4 linked regions of the Drosophila melanogaster genome follow. The protein of the gene in region 3 purifies or fractionates together with the protein of the main gene of each other region. This does not show direct contact. Each region holds a gene or a part of one and is shown on either strand. Other genes may lie near its edges. The genes, in order: Ada2b, Mocs2B, Sgf29 and Atac2.

The links.
Region 1: the proteins of Sgf29 (region 3) and Ada2b purify together in Drosophila melanogaster (affinity purification with mass spectrometry; 4 studies listed by BioGRID, with this or other methods). This does not show direct contact.
Region 2: the proteins of Sgf29 (region 3) and Mocs2B purify together in Drosophila melanogaster (affinity purification with mass spectrometry; 5 studies listed by BioGRID, with this or other methods). This does not show direct contact.
Region 4: the proteins of Sgf29 (region 3) and Atac2 purify together in Drosophila melanogaster (affinity purification with mass spectrometry; 5 studies listed by BioGRID). This does not show direct contact.

Annotation. Positions count from the first base shown.
Region 1 is NT_033777.3:8,236,567-8,242,267, reverse strand, and holds Ada2b (transcriptional adaptor 2b), read left to right. Parts: upstream 1-1,752; 5' UTR 1,753-1,844; coding exon 1,845-1,958; intron 1,959-2,661; coding exon 2,662-3,537; intron 3,538-4,015; coding exon of another isoform or gene 4,016-4,085; coding exon 4,086-4,165; intron 4,166-4,232; coding exon 4,233-4,830; 3' UTR 4,831-5,154; downstream 5,155-5,701. UniProt on the Drosophila melanogaster protein: Component of several Gcn5-containing histone acetyltransferase complexes that regulate nucleosome organization; involved in acetylation of histone H3, particularly on Lys-10 (H3K9ac) and Lys-15 (H3K14ac).
Region 2 is NT_033777.3:25,125,122-25,129,098, reverse strand, and holds Mocs2B (molybdenum cofactor synthesis 2B), read left to right. Parts: upstream 1-1,739; 5' UTR 1,740-1,752; coding exon of another isoform or gene 1,753-2,025; 5' UTR 2,026-2,035; coding exon 2,036-2,164; intron 2,165-2,225; coding exon 2,226-2,532; intron 2,533-2,656; coding exon 2,657-2,932; intron 2,933-2,996; coding exon 2,997-3,265; intron 3,266-3,324; coding exon 3,325-3,447; 3' UTR 3,448-3,467; downstream 3,468-3,977. Other genes in the region: Clbn (caliban), read right to left, coding at 1-366, 438-1,167, 1,233-1,288; Mocs2A (molybdenum cofactor synthesis 2A), read left to right, coding at 1,753-2,025; vig2, read right to left, coding at 3,743-3,977. UniProt on the Drosophila melanogaster protein: Catalytic subunit of the molybdopterin synthase complex, a complex that catalyzes the conversion of precursor Z into molybdopterin.
Region 3 is NT_033778.4:21,291,723-21,295,302, reverse strand, and holds Sgf29 (SAGA-associated factor 29kDa), read left to right. Parts: upstream 1-1,656; 5' UTR 1,657-1,806; intron 1,807-1,861; exon of another isoform or gene 1,862-1,888; 5' UTR 1,889-1,943; coding exon 1,944-1,982; intron 1,983-2,037; coding exon 2,038-2,266; intron 2,267-2,318; coding exon 2,319-2,476; intron 2,477-2,545; coding exon 2,546-2,989; 3' UTR 2,990-3,064; downstream 3,065-3,580. Other genes in the region: CG9752 (uncharacterized protein), read left to right, coding at 1-36, 93-868; RpL29 (ribosomal protein L29), read right to left, coding at 944-1,072, 1,142-1,243; CG30392 (uncharacterized protein), read left to right, coding at 3,219-3,376, 3,444-3,580. UniProt on the Drosophila melanogaster protein: Component of both the SAGA and CHAT histone acetyltransferase complexes, which both predominantly acetylate histone H3.
Region 4 is NT_033779.5:18,609,022-18,614,205, reverse strand, and holds Atac2 (Ada2a-containing complex component 2), read left to right. Parts: upstream 1-1,956; 5' UTR 1,957-2,027; coding exon 2,028-2,437; intron 2,438-2,497; coding exon 2,498-2,649; intron 2,650-2,704; coding exon 2,705-2,879; intron 2,880-2,945; coding exon 2,946-4,177; intron 4,178-4,243; coding exon 4,244-4,599; 3' UTR 4,600-4,630; downstream 4,631-5,184. Other genes in the region: CG10333 (uncharacterized protein), read right to left, coding at 4,751-5,184.

The sequences.
Region 1 (5,701 bases), on a different chromosome or scaffold from region 3:
CACCAACAACAGCAGCCATCCCGAAATCGAGCACAGTGTGTGCAATCATATGCATATTGTTGGGCTGAGCGCCGCCAAAAGCCATGTCAGCACCTATTCCAGCTTCACCACACCAGTGATCCCCGCCAAGCTTAGCCAATGTTTAGACGCTTCCCAAGACGATGACGATGAGCAGCGAGAGTTTAGAGACAAAGACGAGACACCGAGCACAGCGAATCGGTTCCCATATCCGAGTGAGTATGGTGCAGAGTTTGTGGCATCTGCCGGCATGTTGGTCATACTGTTGCTAGTTGGCCATTGCCACAGGACCTTGAGCCCTCATCGCGCCAATGCCCATGACAAAGACACAAAGACTTTACATACCAAATTAGTTGATAGTTATGCTTTAGGACTACTCGCTTATGCAAATTTTGAGAGCCCATCCATCGCGGCCGCCTGCTTATGAGTCTCGATGCTGGGAGCAGGCGGTTCAGACGGATCTGGACATGGATCTGTTTCCGTTGCCAGTCGTCAATTATGACGACTGGGGTCGCGCCTGCGCTGTGACTTTTCCTTAGTTCCTTACGCAAGCGAATTCAAATCGAACCGTATCTGTGAAAATCGTGAATCTCAAACTCTTGAATGTCCTCGAACAGTATTGTTAAACATACTTCAGTCCCTAGGATCAGACGCAGGTGCGACACCAAAACCGAATTTGGCGCTCAAATAGACTTATTTAGACGTTTTTAGGTACTCGAATTGATAAATTTTGTTGGCCGTGTGCGTGTTTTTGAAAAGCGCAGCTGCACAAGTAACTTGCCATATCTGTTTAAGATCTGTTAACCCATTTTGTATCGTGTAACTCGTTTTGTTTTTCTCTGGTCCAAGCTAACTAGCAAGAGTAAACTAGCAACAATGCCACCAAAGCCACATGCAACACAAACTAGTCCTCACCGCCCACTGAGATATCTGGAACCCATAACAATTCGGCTACTGCTCGGTGTAAGACAGCAATACTAACAATAATATAAACGTATTCACCATATGAACTAATCGAATAATCAACTATTTATACAGCGTAGCCTACCCCAAATCCTTCCCAATGATTGTAATGATTGTAACCTACAATATCTCGGCAGTCCCACGCCCTATTCATGTTAGATGTAAGCAACCGAAATATTTTTCGGCAGTTATTACTTTTACACTTTTTGTTTGAAACAAAAGATATTTACCCATTTTATATTTTTTTTGTAACTCAGAATTTAGCTTAAGTTTTTAATCCTGACCACCGCTTAAATTTACGTATCGAACTGCATTTAAGCACATGAGTTTTTTATATTTTTATTCAGCACCACGCTACAAATGTTTCAACCATCACATATTCGTATTTATGTTTACCTTGTTTTGGTTTGATATGCACTTCTTTTATTTTAGTTTTATTTTATATATATTAATATTATTTTTTGTGATAATTTAAAAAAGGCAAAACACTCGAATTAAACTTTTAAAATAATTAAATAAACTACTATCAATATTTAACGCATAAACATTAGAGTTTTGAACATGTGCCTAATGTTTGAAATTTGTATTCTATATTTAATGTGTTGGTACTTTTGGTAAGTAGTATAATTTAGAAATTAACTATAATTCAGAGATTCAACAGAATTATGAAAATTAGCTAAAAAGGCTTTAAGACTAGCTATATAGGCGGCACTGTTCCGATGAACTGGTTCGGTTCGTTGGCCGTACATATAAGAATTCTCAGTAGAGCAATATGGCGTTGACTTCGCGTCTGGTCACATTACTGGCATAGGTTTTTTTCGCACAACTCATAATTGTCGTGAAAATCCAGGTTTTGGCCCAAAATGACCACAATCGCGGATTTATTCACAAAGTATAATTGCACAAATTGCCAGGATGATATTCAGGGCATTCGAGTGCACTGCGCGGAGTGCGAAAACTTCGATTTGTGTCTGCAAGTAAGTAACTCACACATACACGCCGTCGAGCGACGCACGTATACATGTTGCAGTAGGGTGGTTCGCTCTTTTTGAGGTTCTAGATACTTGTATATAGATTTGTAAATAATAAAAATCAGTTATTTTAACAAAATATTCTTGAATCACCCTCTTTGGATGGTCAAACTAATGGCCATATGGCCTCAATCCTCTAAATTAACGTCACCCAGATCTTGACAAGAAAAATATTTGCTTTAACTTTTTGTTAATTTAAAGGAAATTTGTTTATTGATTTTGGTAAATAGGTAGACTATCGTAGTTAATTTAATTAAAAATTACTTCCTTACGAATTAGCAGTGTCATTTTTATTTAGTTAAATGCCATAAATTAAAAAGAAAAAAATGTCAAAATAAGTGTCTGAATCTTGTATTAAAAAAAGGCCTGACAAAGCGTAAATTTAGGGAATATGAAATATGTTTCTGTTTTAATTTCCTAATCAAATTATTTTTATCGAGGAACTATTTACACGTTTTCTTTGTCAACATAATCGACCCACCCTGTTACACCCACACTCGTACAATCTAGAGATGCGTCGCCAATTTGGAACCAAAAACTGACTCATCTAGACATTCAAATAATACATACACACAACCGGCAATTTCACCATATTGATTAAAAAACAGCTGACTCTGTATTTATATTGTATTGTTTATTTTTTGCGCAGTGCTTTGCCGCAGGTGCGGAGATCGGCGCCCATCAAAACAACCACTCCTACCAGTTCATGGACACCGGCACTTCCATATTGAGTGTATTTCGTGGAAAGGGGGCGTGGACGGCACGAGAGGAAATCCGCCTGTTGGATGCAATCGAGCAGTACGGCTTTGGAAACTGGGAGGACATTAGCAAGCACATTGAGACGAAGTCAGCGGAGGATGCCAAAGAGGAGTACGTGAATAAGTTTGTAAATGGCACGATTGGAAGGGCCACTTGGACGCCGGCCCAGAGCCAGAGACCCCGCCTTATCGATCACACTGGAGACGACGACGCTGGTCCTCTGGGCACCAATGCTCTCTCTACCTTGCCTCCACTGGAAATCAACTCCGATGAGGCCATGCAGCTGGGCTACATGCCCAACAGGGACAGCTTTGAGCGGGAGTACGATCCCACGGCAGAGCAACTGATCTCGAACATCTCATTAAGCTCCGAGGATACGGAGGTGGATGTGATGCTTAAGCTGGCCCACGTTGACATATACACCCGCCGACTCAGAGAGCGTGCTCGCAGGAAACGGATGGTCAGGGACTATCAATTAGTATCAAATTTCTTCCGAAACAGAAATTACGCTCAGCAACAAGGACTCACCAAGGAGCAGCGCGAGTTTCGGGACAGATTTCGGGTCTACGCCCAGTTCTACACGTGTAACGAGTATGAGCGGCTATTGGGATCACTGGAGCGCGAAAAGGAACTGCGCATTCGACAGTCAGAGCTGTACCGATACCGGTATAATGGCCTGACCAAAATCGCGGAATGCACACATTTCGAGCAGCACGCCGCAACAGCGACGCACCGCTCTACAGGACCATATGGCCATGGCAAGACCGTAAGTTTAAGGCTCCGCAACAGGGGTGCCGAAATCGAACTAACCATTAAATATTTTATTTGGTCTTGAAAATCCGAACTTTTTGGAACTTTGTTATTTTTTTTTTTATTATTAAAATCCAAACATTACCTTTTCTTTCGATTGTTTCACAAAAATTAAAAGAGGTGTTAGGTGACCGGAACCGGTAGCTTTATAATTTTATCAACAATGAGTAGATTAACTTAAATTGAAAGAAAACAAATGATTTAAGTTGAATGTATAGATAAAAGTTTGGATAAATCGATTTGGAATACTTAATACAGAATATTAAATGGTCAAATTGGCTAGTTTCGATTTCATTCCCCTTGGAGTAAGCTTTTCCCACTGAGAATGCATGACGAGTTGAATATCGTGTGTTCTGCCTTGCTTTAACCGTCGTCCTTACCTGAACTGACCCAACTCTTACAATCGCTTTTCCGTCTTGTCTCACGATATTCAGCTCCACTGCATAATAAACGCGCCAAACAACGAGCGTTCGAATGGTTCTATAAGACAATGTTTAACCACAGGACCACACGCATACCTCCAATGGAAGTCATCGGCCGCCAAGCTCTTCCTTGCACTCCCCACAACCGAATCTCAGAAAGGTGTAAGTATTTTGGCAAAAAATTGCAATTACCTTAGAACTTGAATAATTCGGTTTTTCGTTTATTTAGCGAAATGTCAAGCGGCGGCGAGGCAAGTTCAAATTCAATCGCACCAAGAAACACGCTCCACATCGCCGACCCGACCTGCTCCGGCGCATTATTGCCCAGCAAAAACTACTTGGATAGCTGTCGGGGATCGTCGGCAGCTACGATGCTGCAGACGACGGGAATGGTAATGGGGGTAACAGTGGACTCGGGAGCGACGACGGGAGTGACTTCCACGGCTACGACGATGGCGAATCTGCCAACGAACTCGGCGAAGGGAAGCCAACAACATCTGCAGCCGCTGCAGCAGCATCCTCAGCTCCTGCAAAGCGGCAACCAGCACAAAATGCAAAACGAGGCCGCCGGCGGAGGCAGTGATCAGGTGCCCAGCATGAGCCTGAAATTGCGCACCCAGCTGGAGGAACTAAAACATCTGCCACAGCCGCCGGGCAGTGAACTGCTCAGTCACAACGAGCTGGATCTGTGCAAGAAGCATAATATTACGCCCACCACCTACCTCTCGGTTAAGACTGTCTGCTTGAGCGGAGCACCATCGTTGGGTAGTCCTATGGAGACTTCGCTGCGCAAGTTCTTTATCAAGTGCGGCTGGCTGAGCCACTGAACATCTTCCAACTTCCCGCTCCCCTTCGATTAAGAGCCACATGCATTTCCAAGGACTTCACTTTATTTTTGTATTAGTTAGAATAGGTTAAAGACATTTTTATACTGTTCAACTGTCGTTGGCATTTTCATCAAGGTAAAAACTACAAAACTGAAAATCAATTTACTTGTATCAAGTCAAGCTCAATTACAATAAGTGTTGTTCCTTTGTGTGAGATGTCGGGATTCAGATATTGTGTATTAACTAAGCTTAAGTAGGGGACCCAACCAATTGAATATGTATGATATGAATTGTAAATGAAGTAATAAATGTAATAGTGAATGTACAACAAGGACGCGACTTGTTTCTCGGATCTCACAGCTGGGAGACCGCTTTGGACTGAATGCCGCTAGGATATGTAAGAAGTAAGGTATTGAGTAAGCCTCTGATAGCGATAATACCGCGTTGAGTATTTATATTCGTATATTATTTCTTATGGTAGCTAGTTTTCTAGGCAAGATTCTGAACAATGCATTTGAACGTAATTCATTAAAGCCCATGAGAGCATGATAATCAATGTACTAGGCTGAGGAATGGAAAACAATGCTGGAAAAAATATATAAATATCTAATATGTTAACACATATGGAATGTTTTATAAATTAGCGAAGATTAAAACTTGTTAAATGAAAATGCGGTTATCTAATGACATTCTTCGGTATTATAAACTTAACAAAATCACTCATTCAGTTCAAGAAACCCACTAGTTATTTATCCTAGCTTATGTTCGTCCAATGCGGCACCCTAAAGCATGCACTCTGTAACCGTATACCTACAAAAATATATCATATATTTAAACAAATTTATTCTCTTTACCATTATAACTAAAAACG
Region 2 (3,977 bases), on a different chromosome or scaffold from region 3:
ATTGGACGTTATTAGCTCTGCTTTCTTTCTGTCCACATCTTGGACTTTTGTCAATTCCTCTAGACGCTTTGCGTGGTCATTCTTGACATTAGACAGCTTTTTTAGTGCCTCACGCTCTTGCTGTAGCGTTTTCATGTCAATCTTTTGCGACTCTTGCGTAGAGTAAAATTCATCAACGGCTTCCATAAAGGACTCAAATGTGGCCTTTTCAAAGTTTTTGAATTGAATAAAGAGGTAGGGATGAAATTCGATGTTTCTAAAGAAAAACTCCACCGTTCCATTCTCTGTAGGCTTTTCCTCTTTAACTTGAATAATGTAGCCTTTACTTTTTCCACTATTTCCCTCAGCTATAAGCTCTTGAGCATCCTAAAAGATTGCACAGAACGTTTTATTTACTTTAACAGCAATAATAAATATTTCCACGATATTGTTCTTACCTTTACTGCTTGCTGAAGAATTGGCAAGTCATTAACCATGTCAAATGGTTTCTGTTCCAGTTTCGTATTCTGTTGCTTCTTACGTTGCTTTTTACCGCCCTTCTCCGGCTTGTCCTCCGCCTCCGGCGTTTCTTCCGTTGTTTCCTTTTTGATAACGTGATTGTCCAAGCCGTGTGAGAGGAGAACATGCTCTATAACTGCCGGACCACAGTCCAAGTTGGGTGTTAGAATCTGTCGCAAATAGTCGCCGTTCCTGGCATTTTCCAACAGCTTAACCAAAGCTTCCAGTTCCAGTTCCTTCGTGGGCTGTTTGGCCCGTTCCACGGGATATTTCTCGCGCATGGCGAAGCGCAGGTTCTCGCCCTCCGTATGCGGACGCAAAATATATAACGTGGTCAGCTCGTAGTCGGTGAGGATCACATTACCACGATCGTAGAGCTCCAAAATAACATGGTAGGCGGCATCACCGGTACCGAACTGAAAGTCAACAATACGATCGCTACCCATCTGTTGAACCTTTTCCAGGCGCTTGTTCTTCAAGTGCTTCCTCAACTTCATGCTGAAACCGGACGGAGCCATGTTCTTGGGCCATTCGAACCTAGTGGTATGGAATCTTGTACCAGATTCTATTAGCAGAGTGACCTTCTCCACTGCACCGGTCCCTTGCATCCGGAAGAGGTAGGTCTTGTTATCCACGTCATAGATCTGATTCACTCGCCAGCCGACCAGCCTGGAATATAAATGTAGATGTACCATTATTCCTGGGCATCGGAATTATCCGGATTTTTTACATACTTTTGCAGTTCCGCCACTCCGCAGATTATATCGAAGGTATTGAAACGTGTCTTCATGGTTCTTTATGGAAAGTTGACGATGTCAACACGGAAAGTGAAGAAAAAAGAATCTATCTGGCAACTTAACTTATCATTAAATATTCACAAGTTCGCTATCTACGTTAGATAAGTTAAATTAGTTTAATAGGGAATAATAACAATTTTATTCACTTGCGAAATTAAGTATCGGTGTAAATTGCGATGGACGAACTTTAAACAAAATATATCGATTGTATGCTGTTGATGATTCGGATTGTCAGAATGAATTCGCTGTATAATTACTATGTATTAAATATTTGTATTGTTTATGCAATGAGTAAGAAGCTTCTTTGATTTATCTAAAAAGTTATTAAGCATTTAATAAAGTTTCAGTCAGCTGTTTCCCTTTCCGTGGACTATTCCACTTCGTTCCGATAAGAAATCGATACATAGGTAGTCGGAAAATGGAACTGCTGTGTCATCGCCAATCTTCATTTGTAAATATGAATGCGGATGGACCTGTTGTCAACGTGCACGTGTTGTTCTTTGCTAAATCCCGTGAATTAGCAAACACTCCCCGGTCGACAGTGGAAGTTCCTACTGAAATTACTGCCACCGAACTGCTGGACCACCTGGTGTCCAAATTTGGCCTGACCTCCATCCGGGATAACTTGATTTTGGCCCACAACGAGTCGTACATTGACAACCTGAGTGATAGAATTCTGTTTAAGGAAGGAGACGAACTCGCCATCATACCGCCACTGAGTGGAGGCTAACCTTTCCGCCATGGATCACGTGAAATTGGTAAACGACCCCATAGATATCGCTCATATCCATCAGTTGCTGGCCGATGAAGGCTGTGGAGCCTCATCCGTTTTCGTGGGCACTACGCGCGATAATTTTCAAGGGAAAAAGGTGGCTTCATTATCTCAATCAATTGATTTCATTGATTCATTTGTACTTTTCGACCTTTCAGGTGCTGTCATTGGCGTACGAGGCCTACGATAGCATGGCACTCAAGGAAATGAATAAAATATGCTCAGATCTCCGATCTAAGTGGCTCGATCTGAAGCACATAGTCATATATCATCGATTGGGAACAGTGCCCGTATGCGAAGCCAGTGTAGTTATAGCCGCCTCGTCACCACATCGTTCTGAGGCCTTAGAATCAGTATCTTTTGCAATAGACCAGCTAAAAACTCGGGTTCCCATCTGGAAAAAGGAAATCTACGACGGCGATAACGACAGCGAATGGAAGGAGAACAAGGAGTCCATCAGGCCTAGTAAGATCTTATGAGTAGCCAGCATGACATGTATTCTTATTATTTGTACACTTGTAAATATAATTAACAATCGAGCGTTTACGATTTTATTGGCTTCTCTCTCATCTGTGCATGTACATTGTAGAGAAATCGAAAAGTGGCTTCAACTACGCCGCTTGTCCCTGCAAAGTTGAGGAGTCACATGACGTCCCGCGAACTCTGGTGCAAATTAGAGTTAATGACGCTGAGTTAACCAAGCGTTTAGAATGTTTTGTCAACAGAAAACGAGACGAAATAAACTCACAAAATGTAATTGACTTCAAATCGTCTTTTGTCAGCTCAGACCAAAACTTGAGCGATTCCTGCGCTCGAACGCAGAGCACAATTATTAAGCAGGAGCAGTCAAATTGCCATTTAAAAGGTGGGTAAACGATGCTCTATTTTCATAACTATAGCCACTTTGGTCTACAAACAACCTATCACAGTCCGACGAGTAAACAACCGATGCGGACCTCAGCAAATGGAAATGCGACCCAACTACGAACTCGAACTGAATAAACTAATGGGATCGCGTGACGGTCAAACGGATCCAACCAAAGAAATGAGGAAATCGCTACCCAATTCACGACTACAGGCAATTGAATCGTACATGGGTCTAACCACCGACAACGAGGAAAACATTTTCAGTAGAATCAAACGAGTGGAAAATAGACTGCTGCAACTGGAGTCCATTTCGCCCGAGTACAGACACTTCGTAGGTTCTTAAAACATTTCCTGTAATTGCAGTTCTAAAAAAATTCAATCTATTCTCAGACCAAACGTGAACCGTCATCTATGGAAGCCGCGCCGCCGAAGAAGAGCCGAAAGAAATCGTATTCGGCGCAAGAATTAAGTGCATTCATTCAAAAGATTAAGGATGGCAGCGAATTAAGCTAATAAAAACCTAATTAATTATTATTCCTTGGTTTGTAATTGATGTAAATTTATTTCAACATTCCAACTATTTGTAATAGTTTTTTTTATGCGTAAATGATGAGAGTGAAAAATGCAAAAATTTTTGTTTACAACTAAGGAATATGGATAAGCGTGGCTGATTTGTTTCTGTTTATTAATCGGTCGTCAAGCTTCATAGATCGCGCCCGAAAATCTAATGGTTATTTGTTAACCGAAGGACCAGCTTACTAATTATTTAATACGCGAAATTATTAAATCTTATTGTTGTTCTCAACTCCTAGCACAGAGTGGGGAATTGAGCTTCATCGTCAACCTTCAGTGGCTTCTGGGCGGAGCGGCGTTTCTCTCCGAATCTGTTGTTGTCTTGTCTGTTTTCATAGCCGTTGCTGGGTCCGTTGTTAAAGCGGGGACCACGGAATCCCTCTCCACGCGGTCCGTCATTGCGGTAGCCTTCTCCACGCGGTCCCTCATTGCGTGGACCCTCTCCGCGAGGTCCGTCGTTGCGATAACCA
Region 3 (3,580 bases):
TGTTGGACACCCTGAACTTTTGCTTTTGGACCCCCAGTGAGTAATTGATATTTATAGCAGCATCCACTATCTTCAATGGTAATCTTCCGCAGATAACTACACCAAATATAAGGTCGATGGCTATACCGGCTACTTTGCGCTGTGTGCTGCGATTAAGAGAGCCATCAAGGAAGGCGTGGATGTGATCAATCCCAAGTTCTATTCCCAGATTGATCTGAAAACCGTGGAGAACATTTTCCGCTCTGACGATGGCGAGACAGTGATTCCGCTGCTCCAAAAGCGTCTGGAATCGCTCCATGAAGTGGGAAAAGTTCTGATCGACAAGTACGACGGCAGTTTTGAGAATGTTATCAAGAAGGCGGAGAAATCGGCAGTTCGCTTGCTGGATCTCGTTGTGGAGGAGTTTCCCTGTTTTCGCGATGAGGCTGAGTTTGCTGGAAAGCGAGTTTCCATCCTAAAACGAGCGCAAATCCTAGTGGGCGATGTGTGGTCCTGCTACAGAGGTCAGGGACTTGGGTTCTTTAATGACATCGATCAGATAACCATGTTCGCTGACTACCGAATTCCCCAGGTGCTAGTGCACTTCGGCAGTTTGGAGTACACCAGTGAGCTAATGGAGTTCCTAAAGACGGATACTATTCTGGAGAACGGCGATCCCCGAGAGGTGGAGATACGCGGCGCATCTATATACATCATCGAACAAGTTAGGGATGCTGTGGTGAAGATACTCAAGGAGCAGCACCCCGAAATCTCACTGGACAACGTCAACTCCATTGTGATCGACCAATATCTGTGGGACTACCGGCGTCGGCACAATGCCGACCTGGAGCACATTCCCTTCCACAAGGTGCTGAGCATCTACTACTAACGACGGCAACACAAATAAAGACGGTTCTTTGTTAAACTGAATTGTCCTTTAATTATCCACACGCGGGGCAATCATCTACAGAGTAACAGGCTTTGGCTTGCCCTTCTGGGAAGCGATGCGCTCGTTGTAGCGCTTCACGGACTCCTCGCGGGAAAGGTTTCCCTTGCGTGCGTAGCGCTGGTTGATCAGAAATTTCACATCCATCTAAAGACGGGAAGGTTGTTAAAATCAACTCTAGATGCTAACTAAATATGCATATTTTTGAATACTTACACCCAGAGTGGACTCGTGGCGTTTGCGCAGCGGGCGCTTGATGCCATTACGATGGGCCTTCTTGTTCTGGTTGTGATTTGTGTGGTTCTTGGACTTGGCCATCTTAAACTACTCCGGGTATCCAAAGATTCGTTGATGGGGCGGCACATGAAAACAGAAAAAATGTTCGCCATTATAATTTTAGCTTGGGGTTAACACTTGGAGTTCACTTTTAGCCAACGCCAGTTGAACAAAAAGCCAACAACTGTTGAAATTTTCGTTGCATTTCTCGTGTATTAGGCACCTACGTTTTTCGCACACTGGAATTCCTAGCTGCAATTGAAGATATTATAAATAAAAATAGCCAATTGGAAAAACGCGGAGCACACTTACGGAAACGCGATGGAAAAGAAGGGAAAGCCAGAGAGGCTGTCATAGAGCGCAGAAAAGGGACTAAATAACGCCAACCACGTGAAGATATCGTGCTGTTATCTGCGTGCTGTTAGGCGCACTTGCTTCCATCTCCAATGTAAGAAACGTAAACAACTTTGAAAAGTAAATATTCGAGTTTGAGAAAAAGATCCACTAAAGTCAAATAATGAGATTATACGGTACAAAAATCTTAACAATAATTACTCTGTTTTACTCTGTAAAATAAAATTTGCTAAGATTAAAAAAATACTGAGGTAAAATATAAAACTATCGCATAGTTAATACTAACGCGTTGTCGACTTTACGCTTATGCTTGTTTTTGTTTTCATTGCGTAGGTAAACAAAGTGTTCAAAAAACAAATTTATTATATTGTTATAATATCGAAACAACATGCCACTGACTGCGGAGAGTGCCGCCCAACAGATTCAGGTAAAGATGTTAACAATAAATGTCGATATATACTATATTTATATGGCATTTACAGGATCGCCTGAAGGACATTCAACAAAACATTCACAATGTGGACGAGGAGCGTCGTCGTGCGGAAAACTCCATTGCTAGTCTGGTGCGATCTCTGCACGCCACCAATCAGAAGGTTAAGCCCCTGCTCAAGGCCAGTTTAACGGAGGCTGCGCAGGAGGAGGCCACAATCCGAGCCGCACTGGCGAAAATCCACGAGATTCGAAGCATTCGCAATGAGAGGCGCATCCAAGGTGGGTTAGTGATGGGATGTATAAACAGGATTTAATCTCGCATATTCCACAGCTCGCAACGCTGGAAATAAGGAGGCCATTCGACGGGGCGCCCTTATGAAAATGGTGCAGCTCTCAGCGCAAACGTTGCCGTTATTCGTTGGCAAACTAGGAGAACGAGCACCAGCTCTATGTGGAGCCATTCCCGCCGAGGGGAACTATGTGGCCAAGGTAAGCATTCATTTTGATTGGACAAAGAAGCTGGGATGATGATCTGACTAATCGGACGCCACTGTATAGGTTGGCGACAATGTTGCCGCATTAGCTAAGGGAATTGATGAGGAGGAGAACTGGATCCTGGCGGAAGTGGTGCAGTTCCTTCACCGTCAAAACAAATACGACGTAATTGACATTGACGAGGAGCAAAAGGATCGCCATGTGCTGAGCAAGCGAAAGGTCATCCCACTGCCTCTAATGCGTGCAAATCCTGAGACCGATGGTCACGCCCTCTTCCCCAAGGACACAGTGGTAATGGCGCTATATCCACAGACCACCTGTTTCTACAAGGCCATTGTCCATCGCCTGCCGCAAACCGCCACCGAGGATTACGAGGTGCTATTCGAGGATTCATCGTACACGAATGGCTATGCCGAACCCTTGCCGGTCGCACAGCGCTATGTGATTGCATATCGTCCAACGAAAAAGGGGGCTGGCAGTGGCAGCGGGAATCTATCATCAGCATAAAAAATGTATTATCTTAACTTTAAGAATTAAATGTAATTGTAATAATAGCTCCAATTAAAATTGTATTCAATTCACAATAGACTGGTTTCTGTCTGGAATAAGAAGAAAGTAATTTCAGGGTGGTATTTTAATACCGGATTTTTTGGAGAACGGTTACATTGATTTCCTAAAAAAAATAAATAGACTTTAAAGTTTGTAGGAAAACAAAGGGGAAAGGCAGGCTTATAAGATGAGTAAAACGAGCTTAGCGACGCAGACCAATGGCACGGCGGAAAATGGAAACTGTTTTGATATCCTCAAAGTGTCTAATTTGTTCGAAACCAGCCTTCTGGACGAGGATGACGTACAATTAGACGCATACTTGGCAGCCTACGAGGAAATAATGAAGTAAACTGAGTGATTATGATGTTTATGTTTTTTAGTGGTGCTCTATTGGGCTTTCGGTGTTCATTAGGTTCTTCCAGCTCATGGGCAGTGTCTTCAGTTTTGTCAGCAGCGATGTGCGCAGTAAAATAGATATCTTATACGCCCTGAGAGCCAAGGACGCGGAGGAGCAGGAACACTTTAATACCTTCAGAACCATGCTGGATT
Region 4 (5,184 bases), on a different chromosome or scaffold from region 3:
ATATTCATCGAGCATCGTATATATTTTCTCAGTGCATCGGCTGGTAGCAGCCCCACTAATAACGCTAATGGCTTCGATTAAGTGACAGCCAGACGGCGTTTGTTTGCCCCTCACGATGGGGGGATGCCCCCATATCCTTCCCTTACTTTTCCCTTTGTGCCAGGACCTGGCCTTAAATCGTTCGGAAAACGGTCAAGCCATGGCCGTGGAGCTAAGGTGCAATAAGTCTGGTGATTGAGAGCAAATACGGTTGTTATGAACAAAATGGGTGGCCAAACAAATTCTAACCAGCATCGCATCTGTAAATGTCATAATCAGCTAGTAAACGACTATCCAATTTGTCAAGCTCTTTCCAGAAAATATTTACCCTCGAGCTTTAAGTGATTTATGAGTGAAACTCATTTTAACTTTCGCAAAACTAAGATATAGATATACTTTAAAACATAATTCGGGGATATACTTTTGGCTGTAGTAGCACCAACAAATTAATTTGTTTCACCATATTTTTCGCTCTTTTCGACTTGCCAGCGGGCAGTCGCGAATTAAATGAAAATCTCCTCGAGGCGCCAGACAAGCAAGTTGAAAGGAATTCAACTACAGATATTAAAGGCAGGGAAGAACTTGAAGTGCAATATTCAAATTGAATTGAAAACGATGAGTGTTGAAGTGAAATCGTAAATAGGTGCATATCCTGTAAGATGCACAAACTGCATGCTTTGCAGTAATAATCATTCGGCAAATAGAAAGTGATTTACAAAAGAAACAATTGTGGATCCGTTCAGCTTTGGTTCTCAACTGAATACCCCACTTAGCCGGCCTGCAGTTTCGACCATCCCACTTCAGTCCATAAACCAATCATGCACTTCATCAAACACACAACAACAGCAGAAGCAGAAGCAGAAGCAACAGCTTCGCCAGAACGCAGCAGCCGGCGATGCCTAATTAGGCCCGCTTAAGACAACACACTGACCGGGCCAAAAGCAATGGGGCCAGGTCCGATGGTCGATGGTCTGCCGGAAACAGCCTTAATTATGCGTAAGCCGTAAAGAGCCCATTAATGTCATTTTCGTTGCATGGCCAAAGGACGCTGGGCGTTGGGTGGTGGGTGGTGGGCGTTGGTACTAATGTGCTTGGTGGGCGTAGGGCGTGACAAACGCATGCTTGATCAAGCGAAACGGGACTGTACTAATCAAGCGGATTCTTATCTTCTAGATAGGGAGAACATAAAAAACAATCGGGATCTTTTATATAGTGTATATAAGGGCATAAGGATATGCTAGATTCGTTGAAAAGTAGGTAACTGGCATAAGAAATAACAAAAGAAAAAGTCATTCCCGACAGTATTAAGCATATATATGTAATCAGGATCAGTGGACGAGTCGATTAAAACGTGTCCTTCTGTTCGTCCGTATAAGCGCTGTGATCTCGGGAACTTAAAAGTTAGGAAGCTAAGATGGAGCAATCAGATTCTAGACATGTAGACGCATCACAGTTTGTTTCAGAAGAATGCCACGCCCACTCTAACGCCCACCAAGAGCTCAAAACTTTTAAAAAGTGTTTTGATATTTGCTTGCAATTTCTAAAAATGTGACAAGAAAATGTTGAATACACCTGAGAAGAGGGTATATAATATGCGAAGACCATAGCCTTGTCTCTGTTCCATATTAATTAAAAATGCTTATTTATGACATTTTAACAATAAAAAATTATTTTAAATTATGTTAATGCTGACATCTTCGGCATTTTAAAACGGCAATGTTAATAAATAAATAAGTGCTTAATAATAATATGTTTTGTAGTGCTTCAGAAAAGATCAATTAAGAATACAAATTAATTTTATTTTTTGTTTTCCCAATTCAAATTATTGACAAATTTGAACCGAGCACAGTGCGATTTTTTGGTATTTTCAAAATGTAAGCTTCTCATATATATGGTATAAACCAAAAAGTGCGAAACGGTAACACACAAACAACACATTATTTTGTTGATTGTTTTTAACTTGCAATTTGTGCTGTTTTACTGAGTAAATGAATCGGCCCAGTAACTGGGATGATCCCCAGGGACCATGCCGCTACTGTGAATCGCCGGTGGAGGACGACAACTACCTGGAGTGCCAGGAATGCAGGCGGATGGTTCACATCAAATGCCTGCCGCATGCTTGCACGCCCGGAGATCTTTTAGGCGACGTTTTCTTCGAGTTCACGTGCGTCAAGTGTGTGCTGGATAAAGCTAAGGAATCGGTCATACCCTCAGATCTAGAACCCATTAAGGAAGTGATCGTGCGCCAAAGGATACCTTGGCTGCTGGTGCTCACCCTAACGCTCTACAATCTGTCCATCAAACAAAAGGGCTTGGGACACCATGGATTCTTCCATTGGCGCACGCACATCATCAGTTTTGTGGACAAGAACTGGAACTATATATTCGGTCCCAATGTGTAAGTATTCGTAAATGAATAATTTCCGGAGAACACATTCAATTTATTCCCCTTGTTCAGGCGGCGTCGCAAGCAATGGACTGGTTCCGTATCCGGCGCACTGTCCCACAACAGTCCGGAGTACTTTCAGTCTGGTCTGGATGTCTTTCAGGAGAACGGCTGGTGGAAACTGGCCAAGCCCTTTCAAACCCCAAGAAGCGTTCTCAAAGAATGTAAGTGCCACTTAAGTTAATGATATGATAGATTTCACAAGTCGTCACATTTCAGATGAGAAAAAGCAACAGTTGCGGCTACAAATGCGTATTGAAAAGCGGTTGCCTGCAGCGGACGAGACCAGCTGTAGCAGCGAGATCTCAGTGGCGGATCATGCCCAGGATAACCCACCGCTTATTAAAGCAGAAGCTGAGAAACCCAGTTCAACAGAGGGCTGTGCGCGAACAATGTAAGATAATTAATTTTGAATACAACTATGCGTTCCTTTCATTAAAATCTTTCACTTTTATTCCAGTCCCTACATGGGCCGTTTGCCAAAGATACAAACACAACCTTCACCCTTGTCACAGGAAACGCTTCCAGGGCCACCAATTCTTCAAGAAAATATAGCGCCACCAAGTCAGAAGGAGGAAGAACCACAGAATCAGCCTATGAGCATGGTCCAAGCAGGCCTGATGGATTTTCTGGCTGAAAGTTTGGAAAGCGATGATTTTACCATGTTTGGTAACCTACCAGGCATAATGCCCCCACCCCTGATTGGAGCGGGTAAAAATGATTTCTTCATGACCGAGCCGTTGCTTCACGCACCTTTGAATAATGAAGGTCTTTTCGACATGGATACAAATTTTGCCATACCAAATACCGCTGATGAGACCAAACCCATATCAACAGAAGAACCTGCAGCCGAAAGCAGCGAGGAACAAAAAGAAGGCGAGGTAGAAGATGAAAAGCCAGAAGAGGACGAATCACCCGACTATCAGCCACGCATCGTACAGGTTACAAATTACCAGGCGCAAGAGGCAAACGAAAGCATCAAAGAGGAACCACTAGAAGAGATAATGCAAGATGATGACGTCACGACAAATAGCAAATCCTCTATCCTAGAGCCTTGCAAACCGAGTGGATTTGTCAGACAACCACGGCGAAATTGGCCCTGGTTGCAGGAGGCGCAGGATCCCGATGACATGGCCATTCCTAGCGAAAATCTCAAACTAATAAATGCATACGAAGAACAGAAGTTGTACCAGCGACTCGATAGAATATTCGCACTGGAGCATCAGTGCCACATATCCATACCTGCCTATGTGCGGCGCCTATATCGAAAACTTTCTCTTCGAAAATGGAAAAGGGACCACAATCGACACATATTTAACTTGGACGAGCACATAGATCCCCTGGGAAGAGCACGCCTAAAGATGCTGGGTCATCAGAAGGCCGAAATTCTTGACAGATATCAGTTGTTAGCCCATTCACGACAAGATGCAAGGAGCTCCTTTCACGCCCGCCTGGCGGGATGCACTCAATACGAGCTCTTTGAATCGCCCTACTCTCAAAGAGTTCTTCATCCATTTATCTTTCGGAGCGAAACGATGGCTCCTCCATGGCTGAAGCTTATGTGCGAGCTGCAGCATAGAGTAAACGGATCTCATCCCACAAGATCTACCATCGACTTCTGTTTTGTGAGACCGCAGCATATTCCGGCCGTAAACGCATTACTCCAAAGTACTTTTTGGCCAAACATTGATGGTGGGTTTCATGATTTTCTTTTTAGCTTTTTTAATGTACAAATTTGTATGATTTTTTCCCTTTTAGTAAGCGAGTGTTTGAGCTACCCGGACTACAGTGTAGTGGCGTTGTACAAGAAACTGGTCATCGGTTGCGGATTCCTAGTGCCCGACGTAGGTTACAACGAGGCCTACATCTCATTCATGGCGGTGCGGCCGTGCTGGCAACGCAGTGGCATCGCCAGCTTCATGTTATATCACCTTATCCAGACATGTATGTCCAAGGACATAACGTTGCACGTTTCCGCCACCAACGCGGCCGTCATGTTGTACCAGAAATTCGGATTTAAGATGGAGGAAATCATCTTGGACTTTTATGACAAGTATCTGCCTCTGGACTCGAAACAGAGCAGAAATGCCTTCTTTTTGAGATTACAAAGATGAGACTTTTTTCAAATAAATGGTTTATGAATCTAAAGTTTCAAAAGACTATTTCGAAAGAGAATTTTTGGTTGCCAAGGTATGGCTTTGGCGCACCCAACTTTATTAGTTTTAAATTTTAACCTAAAGTAGTTCTGCTTAGAATTTGCCAAATTTAGGCGAATATTTTTTCCTCCCTGCGCTTTTTGGTAACCACCGTGCCAGGCTTGTGCTGCGCTTCCGGGTGATTCATTAGCTCCGGCGGACAGGTCGAGACAGGACTTGCAGACACACATTGCTTTAGATCGTAGAACAAAGCGCTATCGTCCTTGGTGACAAACGAAATGGCACAACCGGTTTTGCCGGCACGACCCGTACGACCGATACGATGTGTGTAATCCTCGATGGTCTTGGCCATGTCATAGTTAATAACCAAGGACACGTCCTTGATGTCGATACCACGACCAGCGACGTCGGTGGCCACCAGGATGTCCTTTGCGCCTGACTTCAAAGCAGCCAAAGCATACTCTCTCTGCTCCTGACCCTTGCCACCGTGCAATGTGCACGAGTTGTAGCCGAGTTTCTCCAGACCCTTAGCCAAAACATCGG